Linked DNA regions of Canis lupus familiaris. The protein of the gene in region 3 interacts with the protein of the main gene of each other region in a biochemical or structural test. Links are inferred from orthologs where the notes say so. Each region holds a gene or a part of one and is shown on either strand. Other genes may lie near its edges.

Region 1 (3,822 bases), on a different chromosome or scaffold from region 3:
GATTAACAAATTTTCCCCCTAAAAGTTTTATAGTTTTACTTACAGTTGTACATTTTATAAGTCCATGATGCATTTTTAATTAATTTCTGTATAATGTATGAGGCTTAGGTTGCAGATTTTTGAAGGTTTTATCACTGGCCTCTAGACATCTAAACACATTCCATCCCATGCTCTCCCTGTCTACTTTTCCATATTTCTTTTTTTTAAAGATTTTATTTATTTATTCATGAGAGACACACAGAGAGAGAGAGAGGCAGAGACACAGGCAGAGGGAGAAGCAGGCTCCATGCAGGGAGCCTGACGTGGGACTCAATCCTGGGTCTCCAGGATCATGCCCTGGGCTGAAGGCAGCCCTAAATCACTGAGCCACCGGGCTGCCCACTTTTCCATATTTCTAAGACATTATTTCATGTCTACTTTAAATTTCATCTCTTTAACTCTTTCATTAGGCAATTTTCAGTTGTTTTACTCTATATTGGTCATATGCCATCCCTAACATTTTACTGCCTTACTGATCAAAAGAATGTAGTTACATAGATATCCTCTACTGTTGACATGAGTCATGGTGATAATACGATAACTTAATAAATGTTGATATGTTTGTCTGTTTTCCAATGTATTGTAAGTCTGCCAAGGAGAAGGAGCATATCTTTTTCTTTCTCAAAACCTAACCCAGGTTTTACACATAGTAAGGATGCAATGCTGTTTGTAGAATTAAAATGGATTGAGTTCTATCATCCTCATATATGCTAGAAGAGGGACATGTTCACCTATATGTGTATCTATGTTCAGATGCAACATAAGATTTTTTGAGGAGGCAAAACTGAGTGGGAAGGCCAGTAGCATTTCAACTGGATCACTCCTGACTACTCATACCTGCTGCTGTACTGGCTGGAACCCGTTTATCTGGGTGAATGAGGTCAGTATCACAGGTAGGATTGTCCAGTACTGGAAGTGTATTTGATTCCAGGATGCTGTGGGAAGATGTACTGCTGATTCATAAATACTTTTCCAATTTATCTGCCTATGATTCTTTTTTTTTTTTAATTTTTATTTATTTATGATAGTCACAGAGAGAGAGAGAGAGAGGCAGAGACACAGGCAGAGGGAGAAGCAGGCTCCATGCACCGGGAGCCCGACGTGGGATTCGATCCCGGGTCTCCAGGATCGCGCCCTGGGCCAAAGGCAGGCGCTAAACCACTGCGCCACCCAGGGATCCCTCTGCCTATGATTCTGTTTAAAGAGTACCCCTCAATACAGTTAGAACTTTGAAATTATATGTGTGCACACACATAAAATATACCCAAGTTGTTGTTGCTGTTTCCGCAGAGTAACCTCCAAATTCTACCTTTCAGAAATCTCTTTTGCATAGGTTCCCTACATTTAGGTTTAGATGCCCATTAATTAAGGACTTCCAGCCAGTATATCTATTTCATTTTAGCTTCCTAAAGACCTAGTGCTCAGGTGATGATAGGAGCTGTGAATATCACATATTATTTGTTCACATATGTCTGAAAGGTCAAAAGTGAAGGTCAGTACATTTCTACATTTTTCTTCTTCCTGTGCCAATTGGTTAAAATAAGATATCCAATAATAAATCATGTTTATTGTCAGGATATGAGCCATGGCACAAGGACGGATCAGTTTTTTGGTGTTAAAGTATTTGGATAGGTTTGCTGTAGTATGATTGCAGCATTTAATTCTGAGCTCTGATTATTTGTAGGCAGTAACATGGCCCATCCCCCTTTCTCTGAATAACCTTTTAAGAGATGGTTCTATTCATAGTTAAGAGGATTTACAGACTTAAACTGCAAAGATACACACAACACCGAGCAGGCAAATTGTCACTCTTTGGGGAAATAATGTTACCTATTGATAGAAATTCATGCTTAAAAAATTCACCATAGGAAACTATGAATTCAGGAAAAAATCCCTTAGCTTCTTAATGTTCTTATGTTCCTGTATTATTTTATCAATTTTTTCTTGAGCAATTTTTGTAGAAAGCAGTCTATAGTTTTTCTTTCAATACTGTACGAGAAATAAATTTTATTTTAGAGAAAAATATCCAAACTACAATAGCCACAAAATATCAACAGTCATAAAAATCTATGGCTAGATTTCCTTTTTTAAAAAACATTACCCCTCCTGAAACAAACAAACAAACAAACAAACAATAAATAAGCATTTGTCTTCGTAAAGGGAAGCTGTTTAGGTTGGAGAAAACTGGACAGATCTGGTAATTATTATCAAAGTTCTAGTTTTCCTCTTGGGGTTAGCTTGAAAACATTTTGATAAACTATTAGTAAGATAGAGCAATAGTATGAAAGCTTGCTTATGGTTTTAAATTCTTTCCAGATAAAAATTTTCCTTGTCAAGAAAGGATCAGGGGTTGTGGAGATTGTCTTACCTTGACATCATGCACAGCCTTGGTGCTACCTTCATTTTCCATGGTTTGGTGAATGTTTGCTTTATATCCCTCTGCCCTACGCAGGGGCAGAAATTGCTTCCACATAGATGGCCTAGAGAAATGTTCCTGGAGGCACTCTTGGTTGTCTTGGGGAAGACTGGGCATGTTTTTACAATAAAGTTCTAAATGAGTCCTGCAGCCTGTTTTTAACAGCAGTAGCCCAGGATCCAGTCTACTTCTCTTCGTCTGGTGGATGCTGTGCCATCTCTCAGCCAGCTGGGGATCTCTCTGCTTCACTATCTGAAGCAACAGGATTATCTGTTTTGGGGATCAGCAGTTTATCCACTAGTGTTCTATTCCAGGTAGAGCTTCTGGTTTTGAATGTCTAGATATGTTATGACTGCCCTCTGCAGGCAGCAATGTGTTCCTAATTCAAATTTAATTCCTAAATCAAAATGGAAAGAAATGGTGTAAGTGATATATTGCTTAGGATATAATGATAAAGGGAATAGACTATTTTGCGAAATTCTGCATTAGTCATGTGTGATAGGGACTAGTATTTGATCATCTTGGACCACGCAATGGAGAGGCAGATGGTCTGCCTAATCTATGTAGTTTTCTTAAAAGGTCATTTTAGCAGCAGTTAGCTTTGCGGTTAGAAATATTTGCTAAACTCACACCCAAACTTAAGCCCAAGGATTATTACACCTAAATTGATATGATGTAGGATTAAAATGATTTTTCTTATGAAGTAACTAGTCATCTAGTGATTAAACCAAAAGTTGGCTTCGAATATTGTGCTTCACATTTGTAAAGTGCCCTATAAATAAAGATTATTACACAGAGTGCAAAGAGTAGAACATAATATCTTTCTCTCAAGGAATATCTAATATTCAAGTAACCATTGCTGGGTCTGGTGCACAGGGGTAAAGACCCCAGATGTATATTACTTGGGTTATGAACTGGAGAAATTTCCTTTTGTAAAATGACCCCGGGCCTCCAGAATTGGTATGCAAAACAAACACAGTCACAGTCCCTATCAACATTTCAGCTTCTTTTTTTCCTTTTCTTTCAGCTTCCTTTTCTTTTTATTCTTTTTTTTTTTGTGAGAAATTGATAGATTGATTGTAAAATTCATATGGAACTGTAAGGGACCCAGACTATCCAAAACAATCTCATAAAAAGGAGAACAAAGTTGGAGGATTCACATTTCTCAATTTAAAAACTTATTATAAGGGGATGCTTGGGTGGCTCAGTGGTTGAGCGTCTGCCTTTGGCTTAGGTTGTGATTCCAGGGTTCCAGGATCGAGTCCCGCATCAGGTTCTCCACAGGGATCCTGCTTCTCCCTCTGTGTCTCTGCCTCTCTCTCATGAATAAATAAAAAAAACTAATTATAAAGCCACAGTAATTAATA
Region 2 (3,722 bases), on a different chromosome or scaffold from region 3:
CATCTATCTCTACAGATCTGGCTCCTTGTGACAATGTATCTGTGACTCCCGTGTCACAACCACCTGAAGTGCTCTGACAGTCATTCGCAGACAGGTGCAGAGCAGTGAAAAAGGTGAGTCTCCCTTTCTGGAGGCCCCATGCTTGTGTCCCGTCCACCTGCCCTCCTGGCCTGCCCGCTCACCCGATTGCAGGTCCTCGTAGTCTTTGATGTCATTGTCAGGCATCTGCTCCACCAGCTGCTCCAGCTGCCTGTCTGTGAGATACTGCACGTCGTCGCTCAGGCTACGGCGCTGCTGCTCTGCCAGCACAGCCTCCTGGAGGCTCAGGTAGCTCCTGGGGATCTGGGGTGCAGAGGGGGCAGGCTGGGCCCCTCAGGTCCTGAGGTGTGCCCGGCCCACCCAACCCTGCTTGCTGCCCTCGGAGGCTTGAGTGTGTGAACTTCCCTTCTCGCTGCCCCATCCCCAGCCTTCCCCACCCCTGCCCCAGAAAACTGCTCGCATGGGGGACTGTTGAGCCTAAGCCCGCAGCACACGTGTTTGACAATGGGGGGGCTGGGAAGTTTAGATTCCTGGCGAATAGGGAACAGCCCCTCTGGCTTCAGTGGGATCCTGCCTACGGTACCCACCAGCCTCCCCGCAAGTCTCTGGCAGCCGATGGTGCTGCCCACATCCTTCATGTTGCACGTGACATGGAAAATCAGCTGCCGTAGCCCCTCCTGGCCTTCCAGACTCTTACAGGAGAGCTCACTGTGAGTGCAAAACAGAACGTGATCACTCATCACACCTCTTCTCACTGACAAGTTCTGCAGCATCTGTGTCCCAAAATTTCATCCCTAAGGCTGGCAAGTTAAAAGAACCCATGAAGGGTGAACACAGAGAAATGTATTAAGCTCTCAGTGCAAAGCTCTGTGCTGGGAGCGATGTAGTATGTGTCCTGAGGAGGAGGAAAGTGAGGACCAAAGGTGCCAGGTGACACCCCCCACCCCCCCAAGGACACAAGCTGGAAGGGAGCACACTTGGGGTGGACCTGGTTCTGGCCCAGGGCCAGTGCCCCTATTTTATCGCCGGCCTCAGGGTGTCCTCAAGGGCACACGAAGAATTCCTGAAATTCTGCATCAGGACCAGCCAGATCCTGCATTCTGGGGCAGGTGGAGGTGTCCCCAGGTTGACCCTGCACCAAGGTCTGCAGCACTCCACCCAGGGGGAGTGGGGTGAAGGAACCTGAGAGCCACCAGCACAGCAACTCACACTTCATTCCTACGAGAGAATGCTTCCTTAACTTGCTGGGCCTGTTCCATCGCCTGTGAAGTGGGCACAAGGACTCCCATAACCCCACAGGGCTGTCGTGAGTCAAGAGAGAAGCAACAAGCCCAGGGCTCTGGTCCCACTGGCAGTGGCCGGGACCGCTCAGACCCAGTGTGAGGACCAGGACCACACCTGGGTCTGCGATTGGTCAGAGATCAGCAAACGTGACGAGTGGCAGGCACACGCATTTCTATCTCCTGGTCCCATCAGGGCCATGCATGCTCAGCATTGGCTCCAGCGGGGAGGGGACCCCGAGGGAAGCATGGAGAGGGTGTGCCCAGGCTCTGCCCTGCCTGCCCACTAGAGGCAGCTTGCCCTCCCCGGGGTGGTCTGGTCTGCTCTGGCTCAGGAGCCCTCTGTAGGCAGATCCCGGTGGCCCCCGGCAGATGGACAGGTGAAGGAGCAGCAGCCTCAGCCACAGCCAGGCACCAGGCAAGAGAGAGCAGGACACTCACTGCAAGTGTTTGAAGGTGATGTCTGGGAAGCCTGTGGCCCGGGACCCGGATGGTGAGCGGCAGAGCGCCAGCACATAGGCGCGCAGCGTTGCAATTCTCTCCACTCGGAATTTGGTTTCGATTAAGTCCAGGTGTGTTCCGACCACCAGCACCACAGCATTTGGGGCCTTGGCCTGCCAGAGAGAACCCCACAGCTGAGCATCGGCTTCCTTTGCTCCAAGAAGAGACTGGGACATAGCTCCCGGGCACAGAGGCGAGCCGACCCTCGGCACCACCCAGGACTGTGCCCCACACTCCGCTCTGTAAGCCTCGAGGGCATGTTATGCACCGAGGGGTTGCATGAGGCACCCCAGAAGAGCTGGATTTCTGATCCCCTCAGCCTCTATGTCAGCTTCCTGTGGCTGTGGCCTGCATCCAGGCTCTTGCCACCTTGACTTGTGAGACGGGAGCTCTGTCTTCCTTTTGCGTCCAAGAGTCGGGGGTGGGGGCTCTTAAATTTAAGAGTGCTGATAATCACCTGGTCAAGGAGGGTTTGAAGCGCTTCACTGCGACCTGATTCTGGGTCCTCTGAAAGCCTGCCAAGATGCCAAGCGTTTCTCCCTGACCATTCCTTTTATTTCCGCAGTCAAGGGGATGCTTCAGAGCAGCGGCAGACCCCCTCACCCTGCTCCCCGTGATGTTCCGAGGCCCGAGAGCTGCAGGGCTGGTGCCTCCTCACCTCAATGTTGAGCAGCCAAAACTGGAGGCTGGCCACGGCCTCCTCTCCCAGTGCCAGGTTCCAGACCACCACGTACAGGGCCTTGTCCGTGAAGAAGCACTGGTTGACAGTGGCCATGCTGGCGGGGCCTCCGATGTCCCAGACGGTGAATTCCACAGAATCCACCTGCTTGTGCAACAAGAACAGTGACAGGAGGCAGTTAGGGACCAAGGCTATAGCCAAACACGTTGAGATGGCTCAGGCACAGCACGGGAAGGGCTTTCCTCATCCTGCCATTTGTCTCAGGAATCAAGTAACCCAAGAGAAGGACTTCTGGAAGCTCCTATCTACCGCCAACAGAGCAGGGGGCCCGGCCCTGGATGGCTGGCTCCTGTGGGCTGGGGTGTTTGTGTCCAACTGTGTCTGCAGAACGCTGGGGACACTGTTCTGCCTCTGTCTCTGCTGCAGATGGTTCCCTACTGGAGGGGACACCCAGGTGCTGACGTCAGCACTCACCCAAGGCTTAAACTCCATCGGTGCCTGCGAGGGTGAGGCCGAGGAGATGGGCCTCTGAACTTGCGTAGGCTGGGAGGCGGCGCCCACCAAGGATGATGGGCAGCTGCCCTGATGTGGGAATCAAACAACAGATGTGCTGTTGTGCTGCCAGGAAAGGCTGTGTAAACGGTGGTTTCTCTATTGTCCTATGAGGTCAGAGTCTGGCCCCAGCAACTAGGACTGCAGTTTCCTGCAGCAAAGAATCGTTTGCACGACATTGCATTTTGGCCTCCAAGAGGAGGCCAAGACAAGGCGTGCTGACCGGCTTTTGCAAAGGCATGAAAATGGACAGCTGTTCTGAACTGGCTGAGGGCCCAGACACACGGGCAGTGACACAGCTCAGCATTCGAAAGGTTAGGAGGGGAAATTATAATGCTGGCCAAATGGAAGTGGATGCCAAAGGACAGGAAAAATGGAAACAGCAATTCACCTCTCTGACCTCGGAAAGCATTTGAAACAGACCAGTTGAAAGAAAGTGATACTAAGTCACTACTCAAAAAAACCCAAAAACCCAAAACCAAAAAAATAGGAGAGAATCCAGAGATTATGGGTGACTTTAGAGACGCTCTGGACAGGAGTTAGTGAGATTCACTCCTGGGGTGTTCAGGGGTGGTGGTGATGGTACTGCTGGTATTAAGTAACCAATCGTTCTGGCGTTACAAGGCATTACAAGGCATTACAGGGCAGGACCCTGCTCTCTAGAGGACAGT
Region 3 (3,600 bases):
CAAGGCAGGCCTGCCCCGTGGATGCAGTGTCCTTAGCCTAGGCCCCTGACACCGTCACTGCCTGGCACAGTCCTGGAGAGACCCCCGGGTGCACACAGGACAGAGGGGGAGCCCTGCCTCCTGTCTTCACGATCACCTGCAGCTGTTTCTTTCCCCTTCTCCAAGAGGCTAGATTTCCTTGAATACCTTGAAAGACACAGACCTTCTCTCCATCCAGAAAAATGCTCAGGCACCCAGCATGGTGGCCGCAGCCCAAGGCCGTCTGTATACTTTCTTGGGGCCGCAGCCCAATTAAGACTCCCAACTGAACCCAAAGAACAAAGCTACCACCTGCCTTAAAAAAGACTGAATGAAGCCCCTTCCTTGCCATTGCCCTGGTCCCCTAGGCCCTGGAGGCTAACCCCCCACCCCCATTTCCCAGCACAGTGGGTCCCCCACCAGGACCATCACCACCCCTTCCCCCTGCCAGACCACTGCCCCCCTGAGCTGCTGGCACCCACAGCTCCATACCATGTATGGCTATTTGTGGACCCGTTTGCCCCCACACCTCCTGCCCCCAGCGTCAAAGGCCTCAAGGGCAGATTGCGAGTCTCTGTTCAGTGCTCCTGCCTGGCACAAAATGTCCTCTGTAGGACAGCCTGGGCCACCCCCCACCCCATCCGGCTGCTCAGCCTCCACCACCACTCCTGGGCACCCAAAGCCCCTGCGGTGCCTTGTGCACTGGGCTTTCTGCCTTGGTTGCACCTGCATCATGCTGCCCACCCTCTCCCCCTCGAGCCCCCACTGGCTCAGCACCAACCCTGGGTGCTCCTGGGTACCTCCCTGCACTGTGTCCCCTCTATGGGGGCTCCATCCACCCCCTTCCTTTGAGCGCCCTTCTCCACGCTGAGAACCACAGTGTTCAGGCTGAGGGCCTGAAAGAACCCCCATACCCACCCGACCCCTGGGGATTAAGCCTCAGAAACAGTTCTTAACCCTGTTGCTGCCAGACTCTAAGGATCCCAAAGGGGCTGTGGGGCCGTGGCTGCAGTTCCCAGCACCCATAACAGTGCCTGTAATCATAGGGGTTTTGTGTATTTCCTGGATTGCTACATAGACCAGCAACCGGATGCCTGGCCTGGGCCTTGTCTCCATTCATGTCCTGCCGAGCTGTCAACCTCCCTCCCAGCCTCCAGGGCTATACCCCCTCACACCTGACTGCACCCCAAACTCACCCAGAGCAGAGCCCCTCATAGGGCCCAGCTCCCCCTTCTTCCTCCCCAGTGAGCCTTCCCTGCGGGCCGGGCACCCCAGGGCCGCTTTTCTGGGCTCCAAGCAACATGGTCTTGGGGCCAAGGAGTAGGTCCCACTTGGCAGAGGGATGGCTCTCCACGCCCTGGGCATTTCGGGCATGGGTGTGGGCTGCTCGTGGCACTGAGGCAGGGGCCACCTGGGTACCTGGGGTCTATGAGCATCCTGAGGGTAGTGCTGTCAGCAGCTGGGTGAGGACATCCCTACCTGGTGGGGCCCGAGGGTGTGGTGGTCACTCAGAGGGATGCAGAGACCCCGAGGGCCCGTGAGGGACCCTCAGGTCAGAGTGGGACCTGTCCGTGCTAGCGGCCCCCAAGAGAGGCGCCACAGCAGACGGTACCCCGAGGCCCTCCGGTGCCCGAGACACGCCCCCCCCCCACGCTCCACGCTGTGCTCCCAGAGACGGCCCCTGGCCGGAGCCCCGTGCCTCAGCGTCGCCTGCCCTGCCCACCCCCTCAAGCCCACCACTTCCCAGGAGCCAGCGAGGCGGGAACAGGCAGGGGCAAAGCCCGGCACACTCACCGTCTGGTTGTCCTCGTAGAGCTTCAGGTCGTAGCCACTAAGCTCCACACAGAAGATGATGGCCGTGACGCCCTCGAAACAGTGGATCCATTTCTTGCGCTCCGACCTCTGCCCGCCCACGTCCACCATCTTGAAGGTCAGCTCCTTGAAGGTGAACTTGTTCTCCACGATGCCCGTGGTCATGTCCCGGGAGCGCAGAATGTCCTCGACGGTGGGGATGTAGTCGGGCGCGGCGATGCGCTCCAGGTCGTTCAGGTAGTAGGCGGCGTTGTCCTCCAGGTGGTACTCGCTGGAGCGGCCGAAGCAGGCCTGCGCCCCGGGGTCGGCCCACAGCCGCCGCATGACGCCCAGCAGCTCGGGGGTGATCTCGCCCTTGCTCTCGGCAGGGCCGGTGAGCGCGAACAGCTGGACGGCGTCGTAGGCGCGGTCCGGGTTGTGGAAGTCGATCTTGAGGGCGGCCAGGGCGCGGATGATGCGGGTCAGCGAGTCGATGGCGTTGTAGATGATCAGGGGCTTGTACTCCTTGCAGGCCTCCAGGTTGAAGCCGCCGCTGTGGATGATCTTCATCTGCTTCACGATGGTGCTCTTGCCCGAGTTGCTGGTGCCCAGCAGGAGCAGTTTGATCTCGCGGCGCTGCCGCTGGCTCTCCGAGCGCAGATGGCGGTCGATCCTCCGGGACCGCCGCGCCGCCTCTTTCTCCTCTGAGCTTTGCCGACATCCCATGGTCCGGCAGCGGCGGGCCCAGATGCAGAGCACGGGACGGGGCGCCGCTCCCTGTCGCCGCCGAGCGGGGGGGACGCCGAGACGCGGGCCGGTGCGGGGCAGACGGAGCCCTCGGAGCGCTCAGCGCGGGCGGCGGGGCGAGGCCACGCCACGCTGCGGCCCCTGCCCCAGCAGCTCTGCTCCAGCCGGCATGGCGATCGCCCGGGGCGAGGAGGCGGCCGAGCCTCCCTAGTGACTCTCCACCTGCCCGGGCCACTGTGGGGCCCGATCTGCCGCCGTCATGCCCTGTCCTCCCGACGGTGGGAAGCCGGACTCCAGCGTCTGCCGAGGCTGCTGCCGTCTGGCCGCCGCTTGCCGGGCCGGTGCCGCGCGCGCTCCCTGCGGGCCCCCCGCCTTGGGCATCCGCCCTTCACCTGCCAACACAGAGAAGAGGGTGAGCCTCCCCCCGCCGCAGGCTGGGTGGGAAAGAGGGAAACCGGGCCTCCTCGGGAAGCAGCCTGGGGGACGGTGAAGCACACCCGCTCCCCTCCCTGGGACTCCGCTGAGTTGCGCCCCACTCCGCGCCTCACACCCTGCCTGGCCAGCCAGTGTGCCTGAAGCCTGGTACTTGAGGAAAGGGTGCCCAGAGCCACACTGGGACGTTAGCCTTAGGGTTTCTGGAGCGAGGGAGGGAGTCTGGGGCCCTGCCGCCCTTCCCTCCCCACCTGCATCCGGCCAACCTCACCCTCCCGCAGCCTCAGTCTCTGGGTCTGTTGTTCTTTAGGATTCCATACAGAGAACCTGCTCTGATGTCCTCCCCTCACCACCACCTCCCTCACCCTCTCCTGTGCTGCCGGGGGTGTACCCACATGTGTCACAGCATCAATGGGCCTTGGCCCCTCCTTGGTTTACAGTGGGGTCCGACACCAGGGTAACTGGATGATCTCCCCTCACCACCTCTCATGGGAGCTGGGTCACTCCTTCGCTCTCTCAGGGCAGGACATTCACCAGGAGGAGGCTGGCGAGGCCTGGCAGTAAACAGACAGGCAGGGAGCAGAGCAAGGCAGAGGTCTCGGGCGGGGAACA

What was found.
Region 1: the proteins of GNAZ (region 3) and RGS20 form a complex in vitro, tested with the Homo sapiens proteins (2 studies listed by BioGRID, with this or other methods). The link is inferred for Canis lupus familiaris from reciprocal best matches to the Homo sapiens genes GNAZ and RGS20.
Region 2: the proteins of GNAZ (region 3) and LRRK1 form a complex in vitro, tested with the Homo sapiens proteins (2 studies listed by BioGRID and IntAct, with this or other methods). The link is inferred for Canis lupus familiaris from reciprocal best matches to the Homo sapiens genes GNAZ and LRRK1.

What each region holds. Positions count from the first base shown.
Region 1 is NC_049250.1:5,822,565-5,826,386, reverse strand, and holds the start of RGS20 (regulator of G-protein signaling 20), read right to left. Parts: upstream 2,846-3,822; 5' UTR 2,573-2,845; coding exon 2,408-2,572; intron 1-2,407. UniProt on the Homo sapiens protein: Inhibits signal transduction by increasing the GTPase activity of G protein alpha subunits thereby driving them into their inactive GDP-bound form.
Region 2 is NC_049224.1:40,400,121-40,403,842, forward strand, and holds part of LRRK1 (leucine-rich repeat serine/threonine-protein kinase 1), read right to left. Parts: intron 2,644-3,722; coding exon 2,479-2,643; intron 1,934-2,478; coding exon 1,761-1,933; intron 748-1,760; coding exon 627-747; intron 343-626; coding exon 183-342; intron 1-182.
Region 3 is NC_049247.1:27,875,057-27,878,656, reverse strand, and holds the start of GNAZ (guanine nucleotide-binding protein G(z) subunit alpha), read right to left. Parts: upstream 2,589-3,600; 5' UTR 2,536-2,588; coding exon 1,813-2,535; intron 1-1,812. UniProt on the Homo sapiens protein: Guanine nucleotide-binding proteins (G proteins) are involved as modulators or transducers in various transmembrane signaling systems.